Lonchura striata: one gene and its partners. The protein of the gene in region 1 interacts with the protein of each later gene in a pairwise test. Links are inferred from orthologs where the notes say so. Each region holds a gene or a part of one and is shown in the gene's direction. Other genes may lie near its edges.

The links.
Region 2: the proteins of DUSP12 (region 1) and RABAC1 interact in binary tests that used the Homo sapiens proteins (3 or more experiments, as listed by UniProt). The two-hybrid records come from large-scale screens. The link is inferred for Lonchura striata from reciprocal best matches to the Homo sapiens genes DUSP12 and RABAC1.
Region 3: the proteins of DUSP12 (region 1) and EIF5 interact in binary tests that used the Homo sapiens proteins (3 or more experiments, as listed by UniProt). The two-hybrid records come from large-scale screens. The link is inferred for Lonchura striata from reciprocal best matches to the Homo sapiens genes DUSP12 and EIF5.

What each region holds. Positions count from the first base shown.
Region 1 is NC_134604.1:28,325,200-28,330,029, reverse strand, and holds the start of DUSP12 (dual specificity protein phosphatase 12), read left to right. Parts: upstream 1-1,514; 5' UTR 1,515-1,784; coding exon 1,785-2,053; intron 2,054-2,131; coding exon 2,132-2,245; intron 2,246-2,728; coding exon 2,729-2,847; intron 2,848-3,755; coding exon 3,756-3,852; intron 3,853-4,236; coding exon 4,237-4,423; intron 4,424-4,830. UniProt on the Homo sapiens protein: Dual specificity phosphatase; can dephosphorylate both phosphotyrosine and phosphoserine or phosphothreonine residues. Can dephosphorylate glucokinase (in vitro).
Region 2 is NC_134639.1:279,204-284,033, reverse strand, and holds the start of RABAC1 (prenylated Rab acceptor protein 1), read left to right. Parts: upstream 1-1,669; coding exon 1,670-1,740; intron 1,741-3,090; coding exon 3,091-3,288; intron 3,289-4,653; coding exon 4,654-4,745; intron 4,746-4,830. UniProt on the Homo sapiens protein: General Rab protein regulator required for vesicle formation from the Golgi complex. May control vesicle docking and fusion by mediating the action of Rab GTPases to the SNARE complexes.
Region 3 is NC_134608.1:10,229,069-10,233,898, reverse strand, and holds the start of EIF5 (eukaryotic translation initiation factor 5), read left to right. Parts: upstream 1-1,249; 5' UTR 1,250-1,324; intron 1,325-1,491; 5' UTR 1,492-1,684; intron 1,685-2,939; exon of another isoform or gene 2,940-3,129; intron 3,130-3,654; 5' UTR 3,655-3,862; coding exon 3,863-3,934; intron 3,935-4,196; coding exon 4,197-4,278; intron 4,279-4,500; coding exon 4,501-4,673; intron 4,674-4,830.

The sequences.
Region 1 (4,830 bases):
GCTTCTTGTTACATGGCTTTGCCACAAAAACCACTATATTCCTCATTAACTGTTTATCCACTGATTCCAGTTATAATTAGCATCCTGTGTGTCTACTTTTGTACTCTTTTATCTATTTTGCTAGTTAGTATTTAAGTTCTATTTAAGTTCAGCTTCAAGAGGAACTGAAAATTTCTATTTTCTGTGTTGTCTGTCAGGAGTCTCTTTCACTGGAGATACTCCAGAACTGTCTGGACACAATCCTGTATGTGAAAAACACCAATCACTTGTTTTAAAATTTTAAAAGTTTAATAGTAATAAAATGGTAATAAAAATAGAGTAATAATAATTTGGACAATCAGAGTTAGGACAACAACAACAACAAAAAAAAAAGAAAAATGGACAGTCCAGTCCTAGGCCAATTAAGCCCTGAAATCACACATGCTAACAAAGGATTAACCCTTAAAAGCAGTAGCCTGTTGCATATTCATGTATCTCATACATGATGCATAAATTCTTTTCAAACAAAGGATGTTCTCAAGTTATTGCAAACTTCTTCTCCTTAATCCTGGTGGCTCCTTAAAGACTGAGAGGAGGTGGAAGAATGTTTGTCTTTTCCAATAAGGAGGCTGTAACTCTTTAGGTGTCTTGTTGCTGCTATCTCCGTGTGAAGAATTTCTTTATTATCTCATCCCTTTATTTAGCTAGTTAGAAAAATATCTTACATTGCATAGTTTCTGTGAAAAATGCATATTTTATGATTAGCTTTTCGCAAATATTACAATGAATATTATATGTATAATCTTAAAAAGTTATGCTGTATTAATTCTCTTAAGTAGTATATAAAATATAGTTTTAAGTTCCAACATAATGCTAAAATAGAGACTATACATGCAGAAGAAGTTTTTTTTAAGAATGAAATACTCGCTTTGAAGAACACCTAAATCTTCCAAAGGAGAGGAATTTATAGCTTCTTATCAGAAGAACCTAATTTCTTCAAGCTTTGCTCAAACTCAAAGATGCTATAGGAATTAAAAGAACAGTTGACATACAACAAACAGAGTTTCTTGTTTTAAATAAAACGTATGCATAACCATAAAAGATATATAAATACGCAACAAGTGTATTAAGGGTGATTCTTTTGTTCACAAGTCATACTTTTTGTAACTTAGTGTCCGAGAACATCCAAACGTCCATAATTCTTTGCTTTTTATTGTCTTATAATTATCCTAACTCTAAACTTTATTACTCTAATTGTATTATTATTTTTATAACCATTTTAATATTATTACATTTTTAAAATTTTAAAAACCAAGTAATTAGCGTTTTTCAGTTTCTATTTCAACACTATGCTATAACCTAAAACTATATTTAACACACTACTTTAAAAGGATTAATACAGTACTACAAAATAACACGTAACACATATAAGTAGTCAGTTTAACAGAACAGATACAAGTATTCAATTTAATATTTGTGAAGAGCCAATCATTTAATATGCATTTTTCACACTGTACCAGGTACTTTTGGACGACCCTGCTTGAGCAGGCAGGTTGGACCAAATGACTGCGGTCCCTCGCAACGTGACCCCTCCTGTGATACATATTTGTTTTCTGAGCGTGTGTAAGCAGACGGAGGGGTGGGGAGAAAGGACGAGTTAAGGCAGAGGCCCGCAGACGCGGCGAGGAGCGAGCGGCGCCGGCAGGCAGCGCTGCACGCCGACTCCCGCGGAAGTCATCCCCGCATCCCGGCGGGGAAGCGGAAAGCGCTGCGGCCGGGGCGGCGCTCCGCCCGCCTGCCCGGCCATGGCGGCTCCCGGCGGGATGGTGCCGGTGCTGGCGGGGCTCTACCTGGGCGCCGCGGACTCGTGCTCGTCCCCGGAGGCGCTGGCGGCGGCGGGGGTGGTGGCGGTGCTGACGGTGGACGCGGAGGAGCCGCCGGCCGTGCCGGGGGTGCGGGCCATGCACGTCCGGGCGCGGGACGAGCCCGGCGCGGACCTGCTGAGCCGCCTGGACGAGTGCGCCGCGTTCCTGGGCGCGGCCCGGGCGGGCGGCGGCGCCGCGCTCGTCCGCTGGTGAGCGCGGGGCCGCGGCGGGGCCAGCGCTGCCCGCGGCGGCCGCGCTGCCGCTGACGGGCCGCCCTCGCCTTGCAGCCACGCCGGGGTGAGCCGCAGCGCGGCCGTGGTCGCCGCCTACCTGATGAAGACGCAGGGGCTCGGCTGGGAGGAGGCGCTGGCCGCCGTCAGCGCCGCCAAGCCGGACGCGCGGTGAGTGCCCCGCGCTGCCCTCACCCCGCTCCGCTCTCACCCCGCGCTGCCCTCACCCCGCTCCGCTGTCACCCCGCGCTGCCCTCACCCCGCTCCGCTCTCACCCCGCTCCGCTCTCACCCCGCTCCGCTCTCACCCCGCGCTGCTCTCACCCCGCTCCGCTCTCACCCCGCGCTGCCCTCACCCCGCGCTGCCCTCACCCCGCGCTGCCCTCACCCCGCTCCGCTCTCACCCCGCGCTGCCCTCACCCCGCGCTGCCCTCACCCCGCTCCGCTCTCACCCCGCGCTGCCCTCACCCCGCGCTGCCCTCACCCCGCTCCGCTCTCACCCCGCGCTGCCCTCACCCCGCGCTGCCCTCACCCCGCTCCGCTCTCACCCCGCTCCGCTCTCACCCCGCTCCGCCCTCACCCCGCGCTGCTCTCACCCCGCTCCGCTCTCACCCCGCGCTGCCCTCACCCCGCTCCGCTCTCCGCCCCGCCGCAGGGTGAACCCCGGCTTCCAGGCACAGCTGAAGCTCTACGAGGCGATGGGCTGCGCCGTGGACACCGGCAGCGTGCTCTACAAGCGGTACCGGCTGGAGATGCTCAGCGAGAGGTTCTCCGGTGAGCGGGAGAATCGCGTTTCCCGGGAGGGGAACTGGCTGTCCCGGAATGAACGCAGAAAGCCATGTCAAAGGGGCTTGGCTTCGAGTGTTGCCCTCAAAAGAGCCGAGCCTGCGCTTGGCCAGGGCGAACATTCACATTATACCAGCCCTAGCAAATCCCAGTTCGTCAGTGGGGGGGGAAAAAATGTGCCTTTGGGACATGCGCGGGAAATAAGATCTGTAAGGAGCTGCACTCTTTAGTAAAGTGCAAAAAATGGTAAAGGTCAATTCAATATTTTTAGTGATTTTTACATTCCTGGCAAAGCAAACAGCATCCTCTGTTAAAATACGTCAGTGTGATAAAAATATGTCAATGTGATGAAAAAATAACATGCAAAAGTTGAAATGCTGGTAATGAAGTACATTTTCATACTTTAATTCGCACAATATACGTATACATTGGTGTAATTTTATAATAGAATAATCTGTAGCTTTTCTTGCAAGATCTCAGTATTGCATCACAGTGCAACTTTGTGCCCTTTATGTAACATTGTCCTAAGCAGTTCTTATTTGCGTGATGACTTTCTGTATTTTGGGCATTCAAACATTGGCACAACTGCTCAGAAACCTCCTCTGCCTTTACTTTCTGCTGAAGTAAGAACATAAAGCAAAATATCATTATTTTACCATGGTTGAGGCCATAATCTAGATCCCAGTTCCTTGCATTAAACAAATCCCAGTCTCAGGCATGGCGGGATGAGGCTCCTTTTTTTTTAGCTTAATCTATTGGAATTAGTGAGAGAACAAATGAAAGAAGGTGGCACCCGCAGGCTGTAACTGGGGCAGAGGCACAGTCCTGTCTCATTCCCAGGAATGCAGCATGGCTGAGCTGATCTGATTCACAATATGGTCTTGACCCCTCTGCAGGACCTCAAGACTTGCCCCGAGAAGTCTTTGCAGTTGATCCTACCACTGTATGTCAAACTTTGAACACAGAGGTTCTCTACAAATGCAGGAAATGCAGGTACTTTATATATTTTAAAAAAATGTATTTTTATATATTTATAAAATACTTTATATTTCTACTTAAAACATCATTGTGAAATCTACTCAAGAGTAGAATACCTGTGTGAATCAATGGGCATGTCATTGTTGTCAGGTCAGGGATGAGCTGTTGCCTAAGTTTCCATGCTGTGTTTGCAGAAAAAAAAAAAAAAAAGTACAACATGCAAAACCCTTTGTTCCCTGGAGTGGTGCTTGTGAACCTTCTAGACTAATCAAAAAAATGTAGAATTTATACTCCTGTTTAATTATTCAGAGCCAGGAGACCCATACTTTCTATTTGTAGCTTTGCCCAGTGAAAAAATCCATTTGTTTTACTTCTTTTTTCCCATGTCCTGGAGGGCAGACGCGCTCTGTTCCGTAGCTCCAGCATTTTGTCCCACACGGAAGGAATGGGACCCACAGCTTTTGCCCACAAGAGGATAACAGAGTCTGCAAGGCTTTCTGGGAATGGCCAGGAAAAGTGCACCTCCTACTTCATCGAGCCTGTGCAGTGGATGGAACCGGCATTGCTCGGAGTAATGGAAGGACAGGTGAACTGGAGCATGCACTTTACTCTTTGGAGTTTTGGTTTGGGTTTGTTTTTTTTTTTTTTTTTGCAAAGGCAGAATTGTGTTTCTTCCCTGAAAGGAAAACCCCCACACAGAGTCCTATGCCTCCCAGCCTTTCTGATATGAATTTTGCAGCTTACAGCCAGATGCCTAAATGTAAAATACTCTTTCATAAGGAAACGAGCTGATGCTCTGCTTGAGCTGACAACACCAGCCAGATCTTTATCTGCTGTTTATCTGCTGTTTGTTTCTATTATGAGAAAGATTTTAGGACTTCAGAAGCCTGTTGTGGTCCCAGGCTGACCGAGTCTTTAGGACCCTGGTAAAACTGTTTGGAATCCCACCAGGTCCCAGCAGCTGCATCTTCACACCCTCCCTTCTGCCAGCAC
Region 2 (4,830 bases), on another chromosome or scaffold:
ATTTCACCCCAAAATCAGCGGAATAACCCCAAAATCAGCAGAATAACCCCGAAATCCTCCCCGGGACCCAGAAATCCGCGGATTTCACCCCAAAATCAGCAGAATAACCCCGAAATCCTCCCCGGGACCCCAAAACCACCGGATTTAACCCCAAAATCAGCGGAATAACCCCGAAATCCTCCCCGGGACCCGAAATCCTCGCCGGGACCCCGAAATCCGCGGATTTCACCCCAAAATCAGCAAAATAACCCCGAAATCCTCCCCGGGACCCCGAAATCCGCGGATTTCACCCCAAAATCAGCGGAATAACACCTAAATCAGCGGAATAACCCCAAAATCAGCGGAATAACCCCGAAATCCCCCCGGGACCCAGAAATCCGCGGATTTCACCCCAAAATCAGCGGAATAACCCCGATATCCTCCCCGGGACCCCGAAATCCGCGGATTTCACCCCAAAATCAGCGGAATAACCCCGAAATCCCCCCGGGACCCCAAAATCCGCGGATTTCACCCCAAAATGAGCGGAATAACCCCAAAATCCACGGATTTAACCCCTAAATCCTCTCCGGGACCCCAAAACCACCGGATTTAACCCCAAAATCAGCGGAATAACCCCGAAATCCTTCCTGGGACGCCAAAATTCGCGAATTTAACCCCAAAATCCTCCCCGGACCCAAAATCCGCGGATTTAATCCAAAATTTCTCCCCGGACCCCAAATCCTCGAATTTAACCCCAAAATCCCCCCGGGACCCCAAAATCCTCTGCGGGACCGAAATCTGCAGATTTAACCCCAAAAATTCTCTCCGGGACCCCAAATCCCCCGCGGGACCCAAAATCTGCGAAACGACCCCAAAAACCTTTAAGAATTCCCCGAAATCCCCCAAATTTCCCAAAATCCCCCAAATTTCCCAAAACCGCGCGGTTTCTCCCCAAAATTCCCAAAACCCCGCGGTTTCTCCCCAAAATTTCCCAAATTGCCCAAAACCGCGCAGTTTCTGCCCAAAATCCCCCCAAATCGCGCGGTTTCTCCCCAAATTGCCCAAAACCCCGCGGTTTCTCCCCAAATTTCCCAAAACCACGCGGTTTCTCCTTAAATTTCCCAAAACCGCGCGGTTTCTCCCCAAATTGCCCAAAACCGCGCGGTTTCTCCCCAAATTGCCCAAAACCCCGCGGTTTCTCCTCAAATTTCCCAAAATCGCGCGGTTCTCCCCAAATTGCCCAAAATCCCCCCAAAACCGCGCGGTTTCTCCCCAAATTTCCCAAAACCCCGCGGTTCTCCCCAAATTGCCCAAAACCGCGCGGTTTCTCCCCAAATTTCCCAAATTGCCCAAACCCGCGCGGTTTCTCCCCAAATTGCCCAAACCCGCGCGGTTTCTCCCCAAATTTCCCAAATTGCCCAAAATCCCGCGGTTTCTCCCCAAATTTCCCAAATTGCCCAAACCCGCGCGGTTTCTCCCCAAATTTCCGAAATTGCCCAAAATCGCGCGGTTTCTCCCCAAATTGCCCAAAATCGCGCGGTTTCTCCCCAAATTGCCCAAAACCGCGCGGTTTCTCCCCAAATTGCCCAAACCCGCGCGGTTTCTCCCCAAAATTCCCAAAACCGCGCGGTTTCTCCCCAAATTTCCCAAATTGCCCAAAACCGCGCGGTTTCTCCCCAAAGCCGCCGCCATGGCCGAGGCCGCGCCCCCCCCCCAGGAGCCGCCGGGGGCCGAGAGCGACCCCAGGGGGGGGCTGGGCAGGTGAGGGGCGCGATTTTGGGGCGATTTGGGGGGATTTGGGGATTTGGGGGATTTGGGGATTTTGGGGATTTTGGGGGGATTTGGGGGGATTTGGGGATTTGGGGGGATTTGGGGGGATTTGGGGATTTTGGGGGGTTTTGGGGGGATTTGGGGGAATTTGGGGGAATTTGGGGATTTTGGGGGGATTTGGGGATTTTGGGGGGTTTTGGGGAGATTTGGGGATTTTGGGGGGTTTTGGGGGGATTTGGGGATTTTGGGGGGGATTTGTGGGAATTTGGGGGAGATTTGGGGGATTTTGGGGAATTCGGGGGAGATTTGGGGAATTTTGGGGAATTTGGAAGAGTTTGGGGGGATTTGGGGACTTTTGGGGGGATTTGTGGGAATTTGGGGGAAATTTGGGGAATTTTGGGGAATTTGGGGGAGATTTGGGGGATTTGGGGAATTTTGGGGAGATTTTGGCAGATTTGGAGGAGTTTTGGGGGATTTAGGGAATTTTGGGGAGATTTGGGTGGATTTGGGGAATTTTGGGGAGTTTTGGGGGATTTGGGGAATTTTGGGGAGATTTGTGGAATTTTCGGGGGATTTGGGGGATTTTGGGGTGAATTCTGGCGATTTTGGGTCCCCCCCAGGCTGTCCCCCCCCGGCTGGGCCTGGCGCTGGCTCGGGGCCCTGGGGTGGATTTTGGGGTGGATTTTGGGGTGGATTTTGGGGCGGTTTTGGGGGGTTTTGGGGTGTTTTGGGGCCGGGGTTTTTTGGGTTCGTTTGGGGTGGATTTTGGGGTGAATTTTGGCGATTTTGGGTCGCCCCCCAGGCTGTCCCCCCCCCGGCTGGGCCTGGCGCTGGCTCGGGGCCCTGGGGTGGATTTTGGGGTGGATTTTGGGGCAGTTTTGGGTGTTTTTGGGCTGTTTTGGGGCCGGGGTTTTTCGGGTTAGTTTGGGCTGGATTTTGGGGTGAATTCCGGCGATTTTGGGTCCCCCCCAGGCTGTCCCCCCCCGGCTGGGCCTGGCGCTGGCTCGGGGCCCTGGGGTGGATTTTGGGGTGGATTTTGGGGTGGATTTTGGGGCAGTTTCGGGTGTTTTTGGGGTGTTTTGGGGCCGGGGTTTTTCGGGTTAGTTTTGGCCGGATTTTGGGGTGAATTCCGGCGATTTTGGGTCCCCCAGGCTGTCCCCCCCGGCTGGGCCTGGCGCTGGCTGGGGGCCCTGGGGCAGCTTTGGGGTGGATTTTGGGGTGGATTTTGGGGTGGATTTTGGGGCGGTTTTGGGGTGTTTTTGGGCTGTTTTGGGGCCGGGGTTTTTCGGGTTAGTTTGGGCTGGATTTTGGGGTGAATTTTGGCGATTTTGGGTCCCCCAGGCTGTCCCCCCCCGGCTGGGCCTGGCGCTGGCTGGGGGCGCGCCGGGCGGGGCTGCGGCCCTGGGGCTCCTTCCTGGACCAGCGGCGCTTCGGGGTCCCCCAAAATCTGGGGGAGCTCTGGCGGCGCCTGGGCCACAACGCCGAGAGGTTCCAGAGCAACTACCTGCTGCTGTTCCTGGCGCTGCTGGCCTACTGCCTGTGAGGAATTCGGGAATTCGGGAATTTTTGGGAATTTTTGGGAATTTTTCGGGGGTTCTACGGCGATTTTGGGGGGTTTAATGGCATTTTTGGGGGATTTTTTGTGATTTTTTGGGGTTTTTTTGGGGCATCATTCCCCAGCAATTCCGGCCTCTGAGGAATTCGGGAATTCTGGGAATTTGGGAATTTTTGGGAATTTTTGGGAATTTTTCGGGAATTTTTCGGGGGTTCTACAGCGATTTTGGAGGGTTTAATGGCATTTTTGGGGGATTTTTTGGCATTTTTGGAGCATTGTTCCCCAGCAATTCCCTGCTGCTGTTCCTGGCGCTGCTGGCCTGCTGCCTGTGAGGAATTCGGGAATTCCGGGAATTTTTGGGAATTTTTGGGAATTTTTGGGGAATTTTTCGGGGGTTCTACAGCGATTTTGGGGGGTTTCAGGGCGTTTTTGGGGGATTTTTTGTGATTTTTTGGGGGTTTTTTGGGGCATCGTTCCCCAGCAATTCCGGCCTCTGAGGAATTCGGGAATTATGGGAATTTTTGGGAATTTTTTTGGAATTTTTGGGGAGTTTTTCGGGGGTTCTACAGCGATTTTGGGCGGTTTAATGGCGTTTTTGGGGGATTTTTTGTGATTTTTTGGGGGTTTTTTGGGGCATCGTTCCCCAGCAATTCCGGCCTCTGAGGAATTCGGGAATTCTGGGAATTTTTGGGAATTTTTGGGAATTTTTGGGGAATTTTTCGGGGGTTCTACAGCGATTTTGGGGGGTTTCAGGGCGTTTTTGGGGGATTTTTTGGCATTTTTGGGGCATTGTTCCCCAGCAATTCCCTGCTGCTGTTCCTGGCGCTGCTGGCCTGCTGCCTGTGAGGAATTTGGGAATTTTCGGGAATTCGGGAATTTTTGGGGAATTTTGCGGAATTTTGGGAATTTTTTGGGAATTTTTGGGAATTTTTGGGGGGTTTTGTGGCGTTGTTCCGGTTTGTCCCAGTTTGTCCCAGTTTGTCCCAGTCCCTCCCAGTAACTCCCAGTGCTCCCAGTTTGAGCTCCCAGTGCTCCCAGTCCCTCCCAGTTGGAGCTCCCAGTGCTCCCAGTAACTCCCAGTGCTCCCAGTTTGAGCTCCCAGTCCCTCCCAGTGCTCCCAGTTTGAGCTCCCAGTCCCTCCCAGTGCTCCCAGTTTGAGCTCCCAGTAACTCCCAGTGCTCCCAGTTGGAGCTCCCAGTGCTCCCAGTAACTCCCAGTTCTCCCAGTTGGAGCTCCCAGTGCTCCCAGTAACTCCCAGTGCTCCCAGTTGGAGCTCCCAGTGCTCCCAGTCCCTCCCAGTGCTCCCAGTTTGAGCTCCCAGTGCTCCCAGTAACTCCCAGTTCTCCCAGTTTGAGCTCCCCGCTGCTCCTCGTCGCTCTCGGGGTTTTTTTCGGCGTCGCCGTTCGGCTCCGGGCCCGGGAGACGCCGCTGGTGCTGCTGGGTGAGACTGGGAGGGACTGGTTTATACTGGGAGGGACTGGGAGGGGACTGGGAGTTACTGGGAGGGACTGGGAGGGAACTGGGAG
Region 3 (4,830 bases), on another chromosome or scaffold:
ATGAGGGTTTTGATAGAAAGCACCAAGATGTGCGCATTTATCTCGGGTTGCTTTTTCATTGTTGCTGTATGCTACTGGAAGTGGCAGTAGTCCTGCTTTTGTGACTTGCAAGAAAACATCATTTATCAGCCACCTTCCTGAGTGCAGTTCTTCTGCATATTCGACCAAAAATGTTCAATATGTACTTCAAGGTTCAACAGGAGTGATGTCTCCTTTGACCACATCTACGTGATATCGAAGTCAGGCAGGAAAACTACACATTAAAACCAACTTTAGGCAGGCAGAGATTTAGAGCATTATTTAATGTCACTACTAGTTTTATTGTCATTCCCTCTCTTTTCCTCTACTCCCACAGAGCCATCAAGAAGCTGGCTGCCCACTCAGTTCATAAAGTCAGGGAAAAATTCTTTGCCACCTGAACATTATTGACACTGTAAAATCCCCAAAACATATAACTCCTGTGATACTGGAGGAGCGTAGATGGAAGATGGGAAAGAACGAGAAATGGAAAAAAGGATGCAAGTTTTCTGCTTTTTATGTGAAAATAAATCAAGATATGCATTTCATTCAGGATCTCAATTCAGCTACATAGGGCTGGCAACATTTTCCACTAAGAATAGAGTACATGCTTACGGCACTTGTGTCATTCTTTGTAAGGCACCCAGAGCCACCCAACGCTGAGCCTTTATGACACGGGAATTAAACAACAGGCTCTTCCCCAACCCCACAAGCCGGCTGTGCAGGAAAAACACAACTTATTCAGCAACTTAATTGCTTTGAATTCTTTGTATTATTACTTGTAACATAGTTGCTGAGATGTCAAGCGCTGGGTCACTGCCCTCCAGGGAGTAGCTCGCCCCCCACCCACGGGCAGAGTTTGGGCACACCTGGCAGGACGGAGGGGCCGGGGGAAGCTGGGAGCGCCCTCAGCCCCGGGGAGCGCCCTCAGCCCCGGGGAGCGCCCTCAGCCCCCTCAGCCCCTCAGCCCCGGGGAGCGCCCTCAGCCCCCTCAGCCCCCTCAGCCCCGGCCCCGCCGCACCGGCCCGGCCTCGGCCCCCCCCGCCCCGCGCTCTCTCGCGAGACTCGGTCGCTGTAGACGCGATGTCCTTTGGGGCACTGGCGAGGGGGAGGACACGGGGGAGGGAGGCAAAGCCTTGATTGATAGCGGCGTTCACCAATAGGCGAGGGGAGCGGCGAGGTTTTAGCCAATAGCTTCACAGCGAGGGGAGCGGTGAGCCAATGGCGACGGTGGGGGGCGGGGCGCAGCGCTGGCTGATTGATCCCAGCTCTGGCGTTGTTCAGTCGGAGCGAGAACATTCTAGAGGTGAGTACGGGGCAGCCATTGCCGGGTCCCGTTCGCCGGCCCCTGCTGCCTCAGCTGCGCGCCTCTCGCCGCCTCTCCCTCCCCCCTTCCCTCTTCTCCCCCCTCCTCTTCCCTCTCCCTCGCAGGTGCCGCCGCTAACGATGCTCCTGATTGTATCTTGCCCGCAGATTGCCCGGCGCCGCTCTCCCTGGTGATACCGCCCGCCCCAGGACGCCGGGACCCGGAGGCTGCGGCGTCCGCCTCCGCCTCCCTCTCCGTCTGGATATAAGCGCCCCCTCGGCCCTGTTCTCCTCTCACAATCGGCTTCGTCGCAGCCCGGGGCGAGCAGCGTTGGGTTTATGTCTTTATTGGACGAAAACGGTGAGTGCTAATAGTGGGCTAGTGCGGGTGAGGGCAGCGGGGTAAGGGGAGCGGGGGCCGGCGGGTGGTTGGGGCCGGGCTGGGGCCTCAGGCTGCCGGTGAACGGTGGAGATTCGCAGAGGTTTTGTGTAACGAAGCGTCCGGGACTTTGACGGGAGGGGGAGGAGAAGCAACGCGGGGCGGGGGAGCAAACAACATAAAACCGCACAACAAAACTCAACTCTGAAAGCAGTAAACCTTCATCTGTGGGGTTATTGTTTGCTGTTGGGGCGGGGGCGAGGGCGAGGATTTTTTTTTTTTTTTTTAATTTATATTCGTTTCGCCGCCGCCATGCGACGAGACAAGATGGCGGCGGCGGGGCCGCGCCTCCCGCGCTGTGCCCGGGGGGGGCAGTGGCGCAGTTCCCACCGGGCGCGGGGGGGGGCGCTCGGCCCCGCTCCCGGGGGGCGGCGGGGGCTCCCCCGTGCCGTGCGGGGCGCATGCGCGGCCGGCGGCGGCTCCCGGCGCTGAGTCAGCGTTTAATTGCTGCATTTATGAGTCACCGGCGGCGGGGCGGGGGCGCGGCGCTGTGCGGCAGGGAGCCGGTGTGCCTTCCCGCTCTGTCCTCCGTGCGCGGCGAGGGGGGGTGGTGCTTGGGATGAGGTGGTGTGGGCACCAGGAGAGGGAGCTGCAGCCTGCAGCGGATCAGTGCTGCGCTCTGGAAGGGGGGGAAAACGGTACGCTCCTTCTGGGAGCTCGGCCACCGAGAGAGCTGCTTCCTCGGCATTTCTAAAGACACGTGGTCAGGTTACACCGCGGCTCTTTTTAGACATCCTGGGGAAGGAAATAGTGTGTTGTAAACGGAGTCCTAGCGGTGTGGTTTTTGCTGAGGAAGGGTAAAATTGTATCAGGGCTAATGTAGAAGACAAGGCACATAGAGATCTATGTTCTTATTGTGTAAAGAAGTTGTAAACGTGACCAGAGGACTCGGATCATGTTGCACCATAGGCACGCTCTTCCACATAAATACTAAGAAAGCTTTTTTAATGTGTCAACGCTTCTGTCATTAACGATAACAACGTGATGACGTGTCAGAATAGCCATGCTCTGTAATCAGGGTTGCCTGTGTACTCAACCAATTGTGGCTTAAGTACCATTAGATCTGATTATAGAAGCACGTGTTAATTTAAATATGTAAATACTGCTCAAGGCAACGTTAATAATAGGATTCATCCTCCTTCCCCTTCCTCCCCCCCTCCCTTTCCCCCAAGAAAAAATCAACTGGAAAAGCTGCTGCACTGCTCTGTACCTCTGCATTGCTAGGCTTTCTACAGTGAAGCAACTTCTGTCAGATTTTATCAGGCTTATTGTTAAGTCAGAACTCAACAGAAGCTGCTATGAGAATCCATAAGTGAGAGAGAGAATTACGTAATTTTCAACTCTTTTCCACTCCGATTCAAAAACTGGTAAGCCATGTAGAAACTGTTGGGCTACAGATTGCTGCTGCTTCATCTTACTTATATTTTGCAACATTTTGGCAGACTTCAGTTTGTGATAGGTTCATGATGTGGAATTTGAAATGGATTTCCAAATATTTCTCCTGATTTCCTGTGCCCTTCAGCCTGAAACTGTACCACGTGACCCTTATGGCGCAAGTCACTGGTCTGCATAATCGAGGCGTGTGCCCTTCCTTAGTCATCCCAGAACTCCTGCTGGAATTAATTGTATAAAAAAGTAGTTGTAAGCTGTTCAGTGGTTTTAGGGCAGTAAGAGAGGGTGGAAAGCTTGGTGGTGCAGTTAAAGAAAAGTTCCTTAGCAGTACAAGCCAAGGATGGATTTCAGTTCCATAGGTTGAAGAAAGCCATAGCATAAGAAATGTACTTTTCCCTTTATTCACCTTAAATATCATGCATTATATAGCTTTGTGGCAAGAGTGGATTGATGTACATGAATCTAAACTTAATTTTTTTGTGTGTTGTTAACACTTGCAGAGCTGTTGCGCAGCCACTGGTACCTGTATTGGGGAAACATAGCATACAAGCAAGAACCTTACAGCCTCAGTGGCGAAAATTTTTTCATGTCAGAGACCGAGAACTCTTGCAGTCGTTTATGTCATCCCGTCTTCTCCAGACAGAAGATACCAAAAAACTGCAATCAAAGATCTCTTCATCTTATTGATAAAGCTACTAATAAGGCAAAATGTCTGTCAACGTCAACCGCAGTGTTTCAGATCAGTTCTATCGCTACAAAATGCCCCGTCTGATTGCCAAGGTAACTTCCTAAGCAGCAGCTGGAAGCAAAGCAGGGAGTGTTCTCCCATAACTGGTTTTCCCAGGGTGGGAAAGAGAGGCCAGGATAATGCTTGGTCACTCAGAGCAGGGAGGATGTGCCCTCCTCCGGTCCACACTAAGTGCATGTTAGTCTTGGAAGGAGTTGCACTTCAAAGCGGAATTTTGGTGTAGTTAAATGGAAATGCACACTGGGTTTGGCTGTTGCAAACATTTGACCTTAAAATATTATTTTTTTTCTGTAGGTGGAGGGCAAAGGAAATGGAATAAAGACGGTTATAGTCAACATGGTTGACGTTGCAAAGGCGCTTAATCGGCCTCCAACGTGTAAGTATTGTGGAATGACACAGCATTTTGTAATGCTTTTCTGTTTGAAGTGGTAGTGTGAATTGGCTAGTAAAGCATTAATACTGTTCCTTAAAGATTTGTAGGAAAAAAACATGATTATCTCAGGATTAAAGAATGGACAGAAACAGTAGCCTCTACTTGCTCTTTAAGAATCAGAACAAAGATATGAATGTGGTAATGGCTGTAATTCTTCCTTTACAGATCCTACCAAATTTTTTGGTTGTGAGCTGGGAGCACAGACCCAGTTTGATGTTAAGAATGACCGTTACATTGTCAATGGATCTCATGAGGCGAATAAGCTGCAAGACATGTTGGATGGATTCATTAAAAAATTTGTTCTCTGTCCTGAGTGTGAGAATCCTGAAACTGATCTGGTGAGTGCTCTGTCTGCATTAACAATGACACCATGGAAACACTGTGTTAGGTGTTTATGAAAGCGGTGCAAAGTTAAGAGACTTCAGTATCTATGAACAGAAATTAAAGTACACATTTTTGCACCTTTTGGGAAGGTTTTGCATCTCTAACAGTTCA